Lonchura striata: one gene and its partner. The protein of the gene in region 1 interacts with the protein of each later gene in a biochemical or structural test. Links are inferred from orthologs where the notes say so. Each region holds a gene or a part of one and is shown in the gene's direction. Other genes may lie near its edges.

Region 1 (7,970 bases):
TGAGTCCAAAAGTCCCAGTTTTAAATAGTCTGTGTTTCCTCTAAACAAGCAATAGCCCACTTAAAGCATAACCTCATTAAAAACTGTGGATTAAAGCAGGGCTTTAATTTGCACTCACTTAAAGATTGACAGAGTATATGGCTGAAATCATAGGGGGAAGTGCAAGTAAATGACATTGTGTTAGAATATATTGGTGTGTGCACTGTGTTTTTGTGCTCACAGAAAGGTTAGGCCAAAGGAACACCACACAGCAGTTCACATCTCTCAGCTAAGCCTGTGTCCTGCTTTGTCTGACATCTGTCCTTCCTTAATTCAGGTTTCTGGCAGGTTTTTGAAATGGTTCCCAAATTCAGGTCATGTGCACAGGAGGAGAATTAAAATCCAATGATAGTTTATTTTACTAAATGGGGATTGTTTTAAATTAAAAATTGGAGTTTAATCCTTACCTGCTGTCTATGTCATAGGAACATAGAAAAAGCTGTTTCTGTATCTTCTTTCCTCTGTATAATATAGGTCAAATGGCTGTAGTCCTCCTTCCTTTGTGTCCAATACTTTTGTGACTTTCTTGGGCAGAGCTTTCTTCTCATGAAAGCTGAGCTGGGCCTAAAATTCCCATTGGGAAGGTTTCTAGAGGCCTCAGACCAGTCCTACCCCCATAGCAGATGATAATCCTCAGAGATGTGGCTATGTTGTGACTACCTCTCATTTGCATAGGGGATAATAGATGCTGAAGTCTGGCATTGAAGGAAATGACACGGTTATAGCACAGCTGTGGAAGGACCAAGCCAAGGCAGGGGGAGCTGGGGGCAGCAGTGGAACCCAGACTCACCAAATATTTAAGTCCTGGTTGCTCTTTAAGCAACTATTCAGGAAACACCTTTGAGGATCTGACTCTGCACATCTAAAAGAGTGATCAGGAAATCAGTGGGGACTCATCTCCAAAGGTCTATGTTGCAATTGTATTTTAAATCTCTGTATTTTTAAACATAAACCTCAGAGAAATCTTGGTTTGGCCTAAACTGGAGTACCTGATCACAGACAGGTCCTTAAAAAAGCCCACAGCCTAACTGTATCTAGAGATCCTGAACATGCAGGGAAAAATTAGGCCCAGCCATTCCCTCCAATTTAATCAGAAGCAGCCTGGGGCAGATAAATGCAAGTACTGTTGATGGTCAAAATTCAGAGTTACATAAAGAGCAGTGAATGACAGAAAGTAATTAGGAGTTCTGCATAAAGGGCTCCATACTTAGACTGTTATTTCACAGCCCATATCAGACTGGGGCATGCCTCAGCACCTCAGCCTGGGAACAGGCAGAAATATGAGAGGCTGGGAAATGTTCAGTGCTTAAGCAGGTACGTTTTTACTCTCTTATTTGCTTTATACTTAGTTCAATTTCTTTCCCACCACATACTTGAGGCCAGGATGAGCAGCATTTGGATAAACAAGATATTTCCCTCTCTGCTGAAAAAAGAAAAAAAAAAAAAAAGAAACTGTGTGAGGAAGGTGGAGAGACTAAAGGCAGTCTTTGTGTTATAACTGACTCTAAGAGAGTGCAGGAAATAACATCCAGGATCTGGTGGCACTTTGAGCATTTTGGTGCTCCCCTCACTTGGCTGCCTAACAGCCCAGCTTTGCAGCACACAGGAGTGCGAGTTGGAACTGGAGGGGATGCTGTGAGCAGCCAGGAAGTTCCCATTGCCCACAGATCTCAAACCATGGACAAAGCAGGTGTCGTTCTTTCCCCCCTTAACCTGCTGCAGGCTGTGCCTGTTCTGCCCTTCTCTGGCTCCTGGCCAGTGATGGGGGAGCACACATCCTGCTGCTGTCATGCAGGAGAGCATATTCCTGCCTTATTATTCATGGGCTGTGCCCACAGGTACTGCTTGTTAAGCCTGCTGAATATTTGTCTGAATAAATTAGAAGGAGCTGAATCATTCTTAGACCAAATTCCGGTTTTCTCTCTTGTCCTACTTCATTTATAGGTTTCTCTTCTCACATATCCCCTGTACACAGTGTGAAACAAGTGTTCAAATAGTACTAGATAGAGTCAATAAAATCCTCATGTGTTTTCTCTTTTTTTTTTTTTTAATTATCCTTAAAAGATGCTAAAGAATCAGTTAAAATTGTTTAGTAGCACTTATTGCGACAGAAATTCCGGCGCTGCGGTGCAAAAGCCTGCCCCCCTCTGCATCTCCCAGGATAGAGGCAGCCACATTCCTGAACAGCACATGGTTCATCCCTTCCCTTGCTCATTTTCAGAATGAAAGGTAGTTGTTCCTACTAAGCTTATTGGGCAACGTTTGTGATCTATTTAATGATTCTGCCCTTTGTTGTTTTATTAAACTATGTGATTTCTGCTGCAGCAGAGCTGAAAAATGAATCTTAATTTTTTTTTTTTTTTAATGCGATATCCCAGTTTTTTCACTGGAAAACTACCTCTTATCCTCCTCCCACTCCCTCTCTGCTGTCTCTTCCTTTTACCATTCCTTACATCTCTTTCCCCAAGTTATGCTGCATTTTATTTTGCCTTCACTGCATTTTCCTCCCTGACTTTTGATGCAAAGAGCTAAATTCATCCCTGCTGGTATCCAATGGACTGAAATTCTTCTCCGAGGCATTATTGGGCTGAATCCAAACCCAGCCAGCATTTTGCAGGGCTGGTGGCTTAGCCAAAACAACAGTTTATAATCTCTCTTATCCTTCCCTTACCTACCGTTAATATGAATTAATAATAAGTGCTAGTATTGCTGTCTCGAAAATCATACTTGTTTCTGAAGCACCCATCAACCGAGCTGTCTGACTGAGAATTCCTTTTTAATTTTCCCTGTGTGCTAGGAAGTTGCACATGGGCAGCTTGGATTCCAGAGCAGGGCTCGCTTTGGGATTCCTCTTGCCATCCGCAGTGCACACCTCACCCGAGTGCTGGGCACAATTAACCCCTGCGGGAGCCAGCCTGCAAAGGTTTCTTTTCCCAAACTGCCGTTTATGACGCTAAATGCATTTTCCCAATCAGGCTGCTGCTCCAGATCCCTCACCTGGAGGGGGATGTCTGCACAGTGTTAATCTCAGGCTGTGTTTACAGCCCGGGAACATGACAGGTTCTCTCCTTCCCTGCGGTTTCCATGTGCACAACTCATTAGATACTCTAATGCAGCAGGAAGCCCATCTCGACTGAGAATTCCTTCTCGTATATTTAGCAAACTTTTGACTGCTTCCTTTCAAAAGAGACTGAAGGACATATTTTCGTAGGAAGAGGGTGAGACTCACAAAGCACGATCTACAGTCACGTTTTTCTGTGGGGAACTACAGAGCAGGGTAGGAGGAATCACCCGCAATTCTCTCTCCTTCTCCCCCGCACCTCCCTCCCCTCCCCTCCCCTCCCCGTCCCTCCCCCATGCCCATACAACCATAACACGAGATGAACGCGCTCCAAAATACAGCTGCAAAGCCTTCCCTCTCTTCTGTCTTCTTCTTGGCAAAAGTGGGGGGCAAGAAGAGAGGATGAGGATGGAATTATCCTAACGTGCAACTGATATTTTGACTCTGCCATAACACAGACTGTTCAGAAAAGCCTTCACACACCGTGTCAGAGTTAAACCCAGGCAGGGCTCACTCACTGCTCACAGGAGAGGCTGAGGCAGGGAACAGGGAGGCATCGTTGCTCATCTCCTGGTCTGAATGGTTCCATAAATGAAAGCCAAGGCTTGTGGGGTGAAAGGCAAAGAATGAGTGAGGTTATGAAAAAGAGCATCGCACTTTGACTGCAATCCCCAACCTTCATCACGATCTCCATTAAGAGATAAATTTTACAAACATACACTGTTTTGTATGAAATGAAAGTATTTCCTCCCCATTAGAAATCACGCTGGAGACAGCTCCATTTGCTCCAAATTAGGTACACTCAGAATGAATATTTTAATTAATTAATGATAAATAAGCCAGGCACTTTTCCTCTAACAGAGTTACCGTTTCCTTCCTCAGCAGCAGTGGGATGTGCTCACTGTGCTGTGTGTGTGTTCATATACTTGTCCAGGCTTTGTTTTTGATTTCTCTCTCTCATTTTTGAACCTGTCCCTCAAATGATCAGTTACAACACATGTCCTTTAACCATGGATTTCCTCGTGTTTGGCTGCCCCGACTTTGGAGAGGGGGGGGAGGAGAGGGAGACTAAACAGAATAACACACCCAGACCCCTGGCAGGATGTTCTGAGAAATAAAAAGAGGGGAGAGAAGGAAGAATTCACACGTAAAAATAGAAGCCCACGTAGATTGGCCATATATGGAGTACCGGGGACTTCAGAGGGATACCCTCTTCGGACCACCCCTTTGGCGGAGGAAATCGCTGCTGCGGGAGGGCCCCTGCCCCCCTGCCCGGGCGGTTCGCCCGCAGCCACCCCCAGCCCGCCGCCCCGACCCTGGCCCCGGGGAGGCGGCGGCGGGGCGGCTGCGGGAGGCGGCGGGGCCGGCTGCGGGAGCGGTGCGGCGGCGATGACTCAAACCCGCCCGGCCCGCTCTGCCCCCTCCCGCTCCCCCCGCCGGGGAGGGCTATTAAAAGCTGCTGACGTAGGAGCGGACGGCCATCTTTGATGAGGGCACGGCTCCCGATCCATTGAAGAAGGAGACCCGCGGAGGTCAGCAGCCTCCTGTCCTTGCCTCCCATCCAGCTGCGGCACCGACCCACCGACCCCGCCGCGCCGCGCTCCGCCAGCCCAGGTAAAGGTGGGACACCACCGCGGGCACCGGCTCAGCAGGGGGAGGGGCGGTATTGACGATAATGAAATAGAGAAAAGGGATATGTTTAAAGTGGGACCTGCTCGGCTTTTTATCTCCAGCCTCTGGGGCTGCTGCGGGGACAGAGAAAGGCAGGGAGAAGGGGGCGATTTCGCCGCCAGCCTCATTGCCGGCTGAAGCCGGGGAGGCAGCCGGGCTGTGCCTCTCGGCCGCGCGGGCGGCAGGAGGCCGGAGGAGAAGGCAATGTCGGAGAAGGGGAACCGGCGCCATTCTCAGCTCCGACCGGGGAGAAGGGCGTGCGGGCGCTCTGCGCTGCTGGGCCGGCCCGGGCTGTGCCGCCCGGAGCACTGCAGCGCCCGCAGCGCGCCGGGCTGCGACGGAGCATCAGCACCGCGGACAGCGCGGGGCCCGAGGGCACGGGGAGGGGACGTGCGTCTGTCCGTGTCTGTCCGTGCGTCTGTCTGTGTCTGTCCGTGTGTCTGTGTCTGTCTGCGTGTCCGTGTGCATGTGCTCAGCACCGCGGACAGCGCCGGGCCCGAGCGAGACGGAGCGGGGACGTCTGTCTGTCTGTCTGTCCGAGTGTGTGCTCAGCACCGCGGACAGCGCAGGGCCCCGCGCCGGGACCGGGGGCTGCGAGCCGTCCGTGTCTATGTCTCTGCGCGTGTCAGTGTGTCTGTGTACGTTCGGCACCGCGGCAGCGGAGGCGGCCGTGCTGCAGCGCCCTGCGGCTCCGCGCCCCCCGCCCCGGGGCTGCCCCCCCGGACACGGGACTGGGAAGAGATTCCCGACTGGCGAGCGGCGGTGCTCCCTCATTCCAGGACAGAACCGCGGGCAAGCGCAGTTGTGGTTCTGTAGCTCAGAGTGAGAAGAGGGAGAAATAAAATTTAAAAACCAAAACCCAACCAAACAACGACAACAACAAAAGGCAAATAACATCAGTTCCTGCAATTAATCGGCGTTTGGCACTCCAGCCCCTCTCCCTGGAGAGGTGTTTGTGCAAGGAAGGCGGGGGTTACATAACGCCTAGCCCGCGGGGTCCCCCCGGGGCCGGGTCCCGCCCGCGGAGACCACCGGCAGCCCCCCGGGGTTCCCCGCAGCCGCGCTCCGTGTCCCGGCGCCGCTGCCCGCGGGCGCCTCGGGCGCTGCGTGCCGCGGGCTCCGGCGGCGCTGCGCCGTGACACGGGGGACATCAGCCCGCGCCCCCCCCGCCCGGCCCCGCGCTGCGGAGCGGTGCGGAGCCGCCGCCTTATGTAACGCGGGCTGCCCCGTCACGGCTCCTGGCCACAGCTCCCCTGGCGCCGCCGGTGTTCCCTCCGCCCGTCCTTTCCACTTCCTGGCACCCCAGACGCCCAAACGCCTCGGTGCGGTCCCAAGTTGGCAACTTCGCTGCAGTTTTTTTTTTTTTTTGGGTTTTTTGTTTGGTTTTTTTGGGGTTTTTTTTTTTTTTTTTTTTTTTTTCGGGGCGAATAAACAAGGGGAGAAAGGGGGATTGGGCTGCGTGTCCAGACACTGAGCTGCGTAGCTGCGTCAAACCAGAGTCGCGGGATCTGCCAGATTACGTGCTTGGCTTGAATAATTGCTGCTGGTTTCGTTCCCAGCTGAAAAGCAGAGGTAGGGGGGGAAATGGGGGGCTGGTCTGCGGCGCTGCCCAGGGGTGGCAGAGCAGTCCCTTAACCCAGACCCGTTTGCTTCCAGCCCAGGCCACAGCATCTGCAAGGACATGCCTGTCCCACACCCCCACCTCGTCCTGGCTCTGGGCATGGAGCAGCTCCCCCAGTGATCAGCACGAGGATGGTATGGGGCAGCCACCCCTTCAGGTGGCAAGGGGAGGGATGGAGCCATCTGGGAAATGTGTGCTCCGGTGGGAATGGCTGGGGAAGACACTCTCTCCTAGGCCCCCAGGCACCTGCACATCCCTGCAAAAAAGCCAGCCTAGGAAGAAGCAGCAGTGGTTTTCCATTGCTTCTGCATCGTGCAGAACAGGTCAGCCAGGAGGTGACTGCTGAAGAGTTTGGTTCCTAGGATGAGTGCCAAAAAGATAACAGAGGTGACCAAACCAAAGATGCAGGCAGGCCTGACTGGCAAAAGCAAAAGCTTGAGGCTGCCTCTGAAGTCAAGAGGTGCTGCAGAAACTCAGCATGTTACAAAACCAAATGCAGCTAGATAGCAACCCCAAATAAATGCAGCTTAACTTTTTTTCCACATCTAACTAGAAAATGAGAGTGACATTTCTGAGAGCTCTCGGGACCAGGCTGTGTGTCCATTGAACTCATGGGGGCAGTGAAAGAAAGAACAGCAGAATCCAGCCAGCACGAACCCTCAAAATACATCTAATGAGATGCAGCTCCACTTCCCAGATTTATTGCAGTGAGGTAGGAGATGCTTTTCAGGTCAAGGAAAGCTTTTCATTTTTCTCCCTATGCTTTAGACATGGCAACAAATGACAAGATTAAAGTGCTAAGGCAAATAAAGCATGGTCTCTGCCTAGTGCTTGCACTGCTTTAACTACATAAGGTAACGAAACAAAACTCTTTTCCTGTCAGTGTGAACAACTTCAGCGATTTGTATGTCTATGTGTCACACAGCTACAGCTGCTGCATTTGTAGCAACCCTCAGGGAAAAATGGAAAATATATGGCATGGTGTAGGACTCAGTTTGCTAATGATTTCTTCTCTCAGGAATGAAGAGCAGAAACTGTTTTCCCTTTACCTTGGCTTGTTGTCACACCATTACTCTTTCTCTTGCATTTTTTCCCCCCAAATCTCTGTCATAACATTTTATAACATAAGGAGGACTCTTTCATCTATACACATTTATACCCACACACACGCTTATTTCAGAGATTTTCAGGGTTCCAGGCTGGGTAAAACCACAACAGATGCAGGCTGACTTTGCAGCATTCATTGGGCAGAGTACATTTTTCCTGTCGGTGGAGTTTCATGCCCTGCTGCCAATGCAGCCACCTTTGGGCTGGACCAGTGCCAGGCAATCTGTAACAACAGACTTGTTCAAGCATTTCAGAGCTTTAAAGTCTAAGGCAGACAAGAATAATGTGTTGCTGGAGAGCTGCTGCAGGATGCACTTCTCAGGCAAATCCTGATTACCTCTAGGAAGCTGGACTTTGGAGCAAGCATAGGGCTCGTCTATCTACTCCTGGGAATGCTGGATATAGTTTGTCAAGGCTGTAAGCTGTCAAGGAATAGTTTAGCTAGCTTATTATTTTTGAGCCACCAATGGT
Region 2 (8,731 bases), on another chromosome or scaffold:
CATCACAGAGGTGTTACCAACTTTTTTAATTGTAAAGAACAGCTAGCAACATGTCCATTTTCAGAGCCTTTTGGTATTTGCTCTCCTAGACATAGTAGAAGCTTTAAGCAGATGTTTGTTTTTCTCAAATGTTGCCTCTGTGGCTTTTCCCACTCCCACTAAATATCAGGCTGCGTTAAACTAACACAAGTACACATTCACCTCATGCTTAATGAAAAGTTTAAAATATTAAACAATTACATTTTTTGTTATAGCTTAGGGATTGACATATTGCTTTTGAGGTGAAGGCATCCCTTCCAAAATGAGCTCAGAACTTGAGGCTACTCTTTTAACACAGGAGAAGAACTACAGGCCATAGCATCTGACACCAAGCTATCATTTCAGCCAAGCATAATACTTCCCTCTGATAATTTTGTTTTCCAAGACATAGAGTAATAAAAGAAGGCGAGGCAAAGAATTAATTACCTGGGAAAACAGAAATTCTGTTGTAAAGTGTGTTTGACCTTTTGAATCTTGCTTGCACTTTAAATTGCAACAAAGAGGAAAAGTATGGCATCTTTTTCCCCTCTCCATTGACAGAAGAATTCTGAAACAAATCCAATTTACTCTGCTATGATTTTGTTTATTTTTCATACACACATGTATGGCTTGAAGCAAAGAGTCAAGGCAAAGTGATTTGGTCATGGAAAAGGTGCAGCACTTTTGATACCTCAAAGTAGAATGTTTCAACAGCATCAAATATATAGCAGTAATTTTTTTTACCTTCTTTGCTTCTAAACTCCTGTACAAGCTGACAGATTCCAGAATGCTCTGGTTTGGATGACTTATTCACTGGTGGAAAAATTCTTGCCAAAAGTACTTGAAATAATAATCTTATGACAAAAACTTGATACACTTTGGATAGAGGCATCTTTATTTAATCACTGCAGTGATAAAGATGGATTCTTGGCTTTATGGACAACTTCTGTCTGCCAAGGAAGCCTTGTAATCTACAGCTGTAAATCCTGGAGATAAGAGGTACAGGATTTACCTGATCATGCCTATCCACAGGAATCAGAGTCCTGCTGAGAAGGGATTCTCAATAAGTCTGGCAAGGCAAAAACTTCTCCAGAGAGAAGGAAACAAAGAAAGGAATGAGATAGAGGGACTAGGGGAGTAGAAAAGGTAGAAAACAAACAAGAAGTTGTCAGCTTAAGAGCTAGAGGCTATAAATGGCAGCCTACCAAGGGTCCTATTCATAAAATAGACTGGGGCATCTGTGTTCATTAAAATAAAAAAGAAAAAAATTTTAAATTATATGGTTTGCACTCTTGTGTTCACATGTCATTAAGACAGAACAATCAATATGTGTCTGTTTCAGTTTTTCTGAGGGTGGGCAGCTAAAATTTGGTCTTGTGATAGCTGAAACAAATGCTCAACTAGAGAGTTCACCTTCAAGAAATCTCAAGGGACCAGAACTTCAGAGCTATTAGAAATGGCTGTAAAATCCTTTTATAATTTTTCCCTGCTTTAGGGAAACATACACTTCTTAAAAAGAATGTTATTTTTTTTTAAATTGGTTAGAAAATAAAAACCTTAAAGCCTGCTGTAAGTTGAATGTAACAAGAAAAAAAGCAGTACTTTTGAAGAGGTAAAAAATGCTTGAATTCTGAAATGTTTTGGCAGTCAGAATTGACAGTTGAAGAGAAAATGAAACAAACAGTAGATTTGTCTCAGTAGATGTGTTCAGCGAACTAAACCACTGAAGGATTTGCAACTGTTGTACACAAACTACCTTTAGCAAGTATTGACTCCTCTGTCTCAGTAGCTGTGTTGATAAAAAGCTAATCACCCTGCTCCTGTGCAGGTCTTGCCAGCAGCCTACTGAACAGCACAGCAGTTCCAATAGTGAGAGCTAATAAAAGATAGGGGGGAAAAAAGAAAAAGAAACTAAGTATGTTCATTTCGGGCGGCTGCTTAATTACTTTCTATAACATTTACACTTTGTTTGTGAGCTTTCTTATTAGTATCATTTTCACATGGCATTGGTTTCAGTTTAGTAGTCAAACACCATATGGAAATGAATAATCAAACACTGCGTTTTAAGATGTTGAAATGAAACATCCTGACTAATTTAATTTTTTTCTGTCTGAAAACAGACCCTTCCTTCTTTTTAGAGATACAAATATAAATTTTTCTATGGAAAATGTCACCAAACTCAATTATTGGCTTATTCCACTTCTTACACAGATTCCCAGCTGGTGGCCAAGGAAGGAATCTCAGTTCCATGCACAAAACTCCATGGAGGAGATCTTTGCTCAGTGTTCTGCACTCTTCATCTGCACCGAGCAAGGTCACAATGTGGATTCCTACTGTTCTGGTTCTGCAAGCAAGAACAAGCCTATTCCTACCATCAGGAGCAGGCATTTGTCAGCTACACAGTGCAATCCAGACTAAGAACTGGCTTTGGTGTTTGGAGAAGTTTCGGAGCTGTCAGGGCGGCTGTTCTCTGTCCATGGTGCTGGGATAGATCCCACTCACAGACCGCAGGCTCCATCCCTCACTCTGGTGAGAAAACGCTGCTGTTCCTGGGATTTGTTACTATCCAGTAGATCTTATAAAATTGCATTACTGCCAGATTCATACACATAAATTTTTATGAACCTAGGATATTGGTACATGCCATCAGAAAGAAGATGCATGTGACATTGCTCATATCATTACCATGGCTGCAGGAGCTATTATTTCTTGTGTATCAGACATCATGTATGGCAGGTAAATCACCTAGCAGATCCCCACGAGACTGTCTTTCCAGCTGGGTTTCTTGGAAAATTGAGGAAAGGCTCTGCCTCGGAGGTAAAAGCCTTCTCAAGAAGTCTTCCTAAGACTATGAATAGATGCAGATCATAGATTACATCATCTCTTTTGACTGTGTGCTTTCTTGCCTCTGTGCCTGATCCTCATGTGGTGAAGAGTGTACTGGTAGGAACTTTCTTGACCGAATAGTCAGAGTATCACCTGGACGGGAGGTACCCAAATCAGGCTCACAAATGATTGGATTTTCATCTGTACATCCTGTGGGTGGTACAAGGAATCTGGCACTTGAGGCAGGGTAGAGATACTGAAGTTAGGACTTAGAGTATCTCACTGGAGTTCGTGATTTCATGATGATGTGCCTTGGTCTCCTGAAGAGGAGGGAACTGTGAGGTAGTCAGTGTTAAGAGCTCAGTATCATGATTTTCTGTGTCAGCTGTGTAATCTGGAAAATGTGGGTGCAGTTTGGAAACAGAACCATAGGTACATGACCCTTGGAGAGTGGGCTGTCTCTGGAAACAGACCAGCCAGTCTAAACAGGTCAACAAGAAGCTCAGGGATCTTTCAGGGACTTCTGGATGTCCCTATTGTTTTGTCTGGCTTCTGAAATCCCTGTGGATGACGTCACTCTTCTCTGCACAGAGGGGAGGACAATTGCTGTTGCAAAGTTTGTAAGGAACCTATGAACAGGAACAATGACATTTCTCAGCAGCCCCACTTGGTTATGCTGACCCTTGACTGCTGCAGGAGTTCCTTGATGTAGCATGGTCCAGGATTCTCAAAATAGGAAGAAGAAAGCTGATTTTAGGCAACTGGGTGTTCTATCAGCTCACACTTTTCTGATCCTTCTGTTTGAAGGTATTTAATTGCTCCTTCCCAGACTCTGGGACACAAGAGCAAGGTGTGCGTATGGAGGTTTGCTAGTCTGGGATGGGGATGCTGTCCTTTCTCTAGGAGCAATCATATGATGAAAAAGGAATGTGAGGTGTGATATGACAGACCCAAACTATAAACCCTGCTCAAAGGCATATAGACACTTGGGGAGGCACCACAGATCTGGAAACACTGTGTTAATAGCATAGAAACCCAGGCACACAGCTCCAGCAGGCTCCCAGGTTCATTTCTTGAGCACAGTAATCTGTGCTGACAAACTCCTGTGTTATGTATGAAAAAACATAAAAAATACTGCATTATGCCTTTTGAATGGTGAGTTCAGGTATAAAACACTCACTCTTGTTCAGGTATAAAACACTCACTCTGGGGGTGAATTAAGGTATAAAACAAGAGGCTTTTCCACCCTGTCTTTTTCCTCCCTGAAACTTGTTAGAAAAAGTGCAGCACTGCTTACCCGGGTGACTTTCTTGGACTAACATTAGTGTCAGCTGCAAAAGTGGTTTTCTGGGAGGCTATAGAATAGAACAAAACAGTTCAGGGGAAGGGGACCTAAAGAGACAATCTAGCCCAATTGACTCGATCACTTCAGGATGAAGTGGTGTTATAAAGGGCATTATCCAAATGCCTTTGAAGCACTGACAGGCATGGGGCACTGAGGCAGACCCAGGTGGTAGACACGGCTCTGAGTGTAGAGATATGCACTCCTGCATCTGCGGCTGGCATCTGAAAGCTTTGCAGACTGCGGAGCCCCGATGGCTGCCTGTTCAGAGCTCGCCTGTTCTGGCTCCGCACGCCTTTCCGCGGGGCCAGGTGCGGGCCCGGCGTCCTTCCTGACCTTCAGACGATGTCGCCCACGGGCCGTGCCAGAATCTCCCCGGGAGGCGCCGCTGCTCCCCATCCCCGAGCTCCCCGTGTGCCGGCAGCATCCCGCTCTAGCCCCCTCCTTCCTTTTAGACCCATATATTACTCTGGGGGTTGCTGTCCCACCTCTCCTGCTGGCGACAAGAGGGCGGATCAGCAGCAGAACTCGTCTCCTCCCCATCCAGCGCCAAGCCGGCTGTCAGCATCCCTAAAGGTGGGCGCCGGTGCTCTGGAGTGGATATTGCTCTGCTTTGCCACATAGCGCTCGCACAGCTCCTTCCTCCTCACCTCCAGATGCCGTCCCGAATCCGGGCTGGACAACGGGTCGCTGCACTGGCGTCCTTCAGCGGCAGTCGCAGGGAGACAGACGACTTTCCTCTTTCCCCCCATCCCGTCCCTCCCCCCGGCCTCGCCCCCCCAACCTGGATAGCGAGAGCACAGAGACAAGCAGCCGGCGATTCTTCTCCGGCCGCAGTTAATTCGAGGCGAAGCAAGAGGGAGGAGAAAGTCTGCTCCCTCCCTTGTCTTCTTCCTTGCCTCTCCAACTCGTTCCAGGACCTAGGGAATGAGAGGGGATCTGGGGGAAGGACTCAGAACAGAGGATGCAGAACGCTCTCCCACACCCTCCCCCTTTTTGCAGGAAGCCGTGTTTGCAGAGATTTCCCCTGGCACACACAGACACTGACTCCCGAGGAGAGGCAAGGAAACCAATTGCAAAATGCTACAGCGGGCTGACAGCGGCCCCTCCTTCCCCCCACGGCACAGCACAAGGACACCTGGCTGCCGGGGACAGCAGGGATGGGGCGGGGGACAACTCGCAGACACTCGCACCCCTCCGCGGGTCGGGGAGCGCTGCCGGCATCCTCGGCACCGAGGGGCGAGGGCGGCGCAGGGAAGGGGCGGGGGAGCCGGAGGCAGGGGGAGGGAGAGAGTCCAACGCCCGCAACGAGGGGAGGAGGAAGGAGGGACCGTGTCGGTGGGATGGTCCGGAAATGCTGTGATAAAAAGAGGGGCGCGGGGGAAAAAAAGTAGGGAGAAGCTGTGGACTCATTCCTTCTCCCCCACTCCGCGCCCGCAACTTCCCCGGCGAGCCTCGGGCACACGGGCGCCGGCGGAGCCCGGGGGAGAGGAGGGAGAGGAGAGGCAGCCCCGGCACCTGCCGCAGCCCCTGCCCGGCCCGGCCCGGCCCGTCTCAGCACGCCGAGCGAGGTACCGGCGCCGGGGCGGGCGGGCCGTGCCGAGCCGGGAAGGGCAGGGAGGAGAGGCGGGGTGCGGGCGCACGGAGACGGGGACAGCTCTTGTCCCTCCAGGTGTCTGTGAGCCGATGCTGAACTCGGGCGGGGGGTGGGATGAAGGAGCTGTGCAGCACCTGAGGCTGGTCTCAACCTTGAGCCGTCCCGGCTCACCCTGAGGAGGTGCAGCCCTCGCCGGCGTTGCGCTGGGGGCTTTCCGAAGGGGGACTTTCCATCCCGCTAGCCGGACTGCATCCGCATCCCGATCGCCCAGCATCCCCCGCTTGTTCTCCCGGGCACTTGCAGGGCGCTTCACCTTCAAATGCCCCCTCGGCGGTCCCGGGCGGACCTGCCACCTCGGAGCAAACCGAGAGGGCGAGAAGCTAGGCGGGGAAAACGGGAAAGTTCAAAGGTTTAACTCCTTCCTGCCCGTCTGCAAGGAAAAAAGCCATGAAGGGGGACCGCATTGCTCCTCCGCACTCCTCCCGGGCGCTTGCCCAGGCTGGGGGAGCCGTCGTGTACCCCTGAGTCCTCCCAGCCGCTGACATGCAGCTCTGCTCCTTGGGGTGCCCGTGCAAAGCAGGGTCTGAAAGGATGGAGGGCTGGAAACTTGTTTGCACTCAGACAAAGGGAGGAAGACTGTGGGAAGAGAGCTGAGGAATATCAGGCATTATAGAGACACTATTCCTGTTTTAATTGTGCCTCTTTGCAGGCTGCCTTCCAAGGATTTCCAGTCTCTGTGCATGTGAGGTGTGAAGGTGGGCAGGACCCCAAGTGACAAATCATGGATTTTGTTATGAAACAAGCTCTAGGAGGTAAGTGTGATTGGCAAACAAGGGGCCTTGAATCCCTCCTACCCCTCCCCTTTCCACTCAGAAAGAGAGGAGATGGTCTACTATAGTAGGGACTGCACCTGGAATAGCTTATTGAGGACTTGGAAGAGCATGCCTGTCACTGATTAATGATCCCGGAGTGGAGTATTTGGAGAATCTGAGCAGGAGAGGGCAGCAACAAGCAGAGACCAAAGCCCCATGTCAGAGAAGAGACCTCCCACACAGGGTGTGCGGGCCCTGGGTCATGCCTAATTGGCACCTCACCACCTGGATGCACATCCTGCTGTGCAGCGCAAGCCTTGATTTGCTTCATGCCATGACACTGAGGCAGATATTATAAAGGACAAAGACTGGTTTAGGCAGAGTAAGCCCAAAGAAAGAGTGACATTTTGTCTATGTGTGTAAACCTTCTTTCATCTTTGGCCCAAAGACCAGCCAAATCCTGAACAAAAAATGCCCAGTGCAGAAATTTCTGTCTCTGATATTTTGATAGTTGTTTTTGGTAAGGACACTGCCACAATAAGGATGGAAATGATAATAAATTATTCCTACACACTTTACCTGGATTTAAGGCAAATCTTCTGTGGGTTTCTGTATATTAGTTTACGTGTATGAGGAATTATTTTAACCTAACGGTGTGAAATACAAAAGTTAGGGATGCGTGTAGGCAAAATTGAAAACACTGAATAAATATTTGGGAATGAGGTTCCTTTTTTCTGCCACAGTTACTTTCTAGACTGCTTGACCTGGACATTTGGTCTGAGCATCCCTGAGGTGATGCTGGATGCTGTTGGGAACTGAAATATTTGCCTCAGAGGAAGCTGATAATTCTCTTTTGTACTCTATTTCTTGTGTGCATTTTTCATTATTTTTGCTTTGAAGAAACTGTAGAATCATGGGGCTGTGTAAATGTTTAATGTGTGGTGATATTGATGTCATATACAACTTCAACATTTACTGCAGGACTCTATCCCATGGTGTGGAAATAATGTTTTCATCTCTGAAAGTGGTGGGTGTTTTTCACCAGAGGAGCAAAATTTTCACAGTTTAGAACAGAGGAAGCAACCAAAGTTTTAGTTGGGGTATTTTGAATAGGGAGATAAAACTGGAGAAGAAAGGGATGAATTTGTTTTGCATGAAACAGTGAGGTATGAGGACATCTGCGTGAGAAGGTAGCGGTTTGTGTGGCAGCAGCACTGTGCTTCATTTCACTCTTCAGTGCCTGTTTTGAAGGAGAATTAGTGTTAAGATGTGCAGACTTTGCACTGTTTGCTGTAGTGCAAGGTTGCTTGCACAGAATTGAACTAATGTACCTGCAAACTGGAGATACAGCAACTACAGCTGGAGATCCATAAATCCAGTGAAGGGACATAAATGCTCACAGACTGCAGCTAAAGGTGGGGGGAGGAGGGCTGCAGCAAAGGAATAACATCTACCATGGCTGCTTTTTTCTGCAGCTTTGTGACTTAACATGAGTTGGAAGCAGTGTCTGCCCGTGCTTAACAACATTCACCCTGGGCAGACCTCCTTCATTCTGACAAGATGTTGCATGCCAAGGTCAGGATTTGTATGGTAATAGGACTTTCTGAGAAGGTAAATTCAAAAAGCATCTTTTTGTGAAGTCTGAGCTTCTGATGTCAGTCAAGATGCTGTCCAGGGCACCAGCTCTTCTGCCAGATGACTTAATGTGTCTGGAACTTACCCACTTACTCAATAAAGGAGAAGTCTCTGCAGAGTGGTAAAATCCAGGAAATGCTAATTCATTAAGCAGAGTCCTATTTTTAAATTACAAATAGTTTCAACAAGATAAAACAAGATCTCCCATTGCAAATCTAATATGGAAAGTAAAGTGGTTTTGGACACTGGTTTCTCCCTGGAGTTAAAGCCCAAGCTGATGCAAATCATCCAGGCTGGCCAGACTGGCACAGCAAACCAAGGACTAAAGGATATAGTTTGCTTCCTTAGTTTTGGGTCCAGAACCCTTTATTTCTGCCAGTTCTGATATCCAAAGGGAGATTTACTTAAGAGCTGGACTCAGTGATCCTTCTGGGTCCCTTCCAACTCAGACTAATCTGTGAATTGTGTCCACAAGGATGGTCAAACTGAGCAGACCACCAA

The links.
Region 2: the proteins of SNAP25 (region 1) and CPLX1 are reported together in a solved structure, tested with the Homo sapiens proteins (2 studies listed by BioGRID, with this or other methods). The link is inferred for Lonchura striata from reciprocal best matches to the Homo sapiens genes SNAP25 and CPLX1.

Annotation. Positions count from the first base shown.
Region 1 is NC_134605.1:23,467,038-23,475,007, reverse strand, and holds the start of SNAP25 (synaptosomal-associated protein 25), read left to right. Parts: upstream 1-4,572; 5' UTR 4,573-4,714; intron 4,715-7,970.
Region 2 is NC_134642.1:3,230,617-3,239,347, forward strand, and holds the start of CPLX1 (complexin-1), read left to right. Parts: upstream 1-5,500; 5' UTR 5,501-5,757; intron 5,758-6,492; 5' UTR 6,493-6,564; coding exon 6,565-6,595; intron 6,596-8,731. UniProt on the Homo sapiens protein: Positively regulates a late step in exocytosis of various cytoplasmic vesicles, such as synaptic vesicles and other secretory vesicles.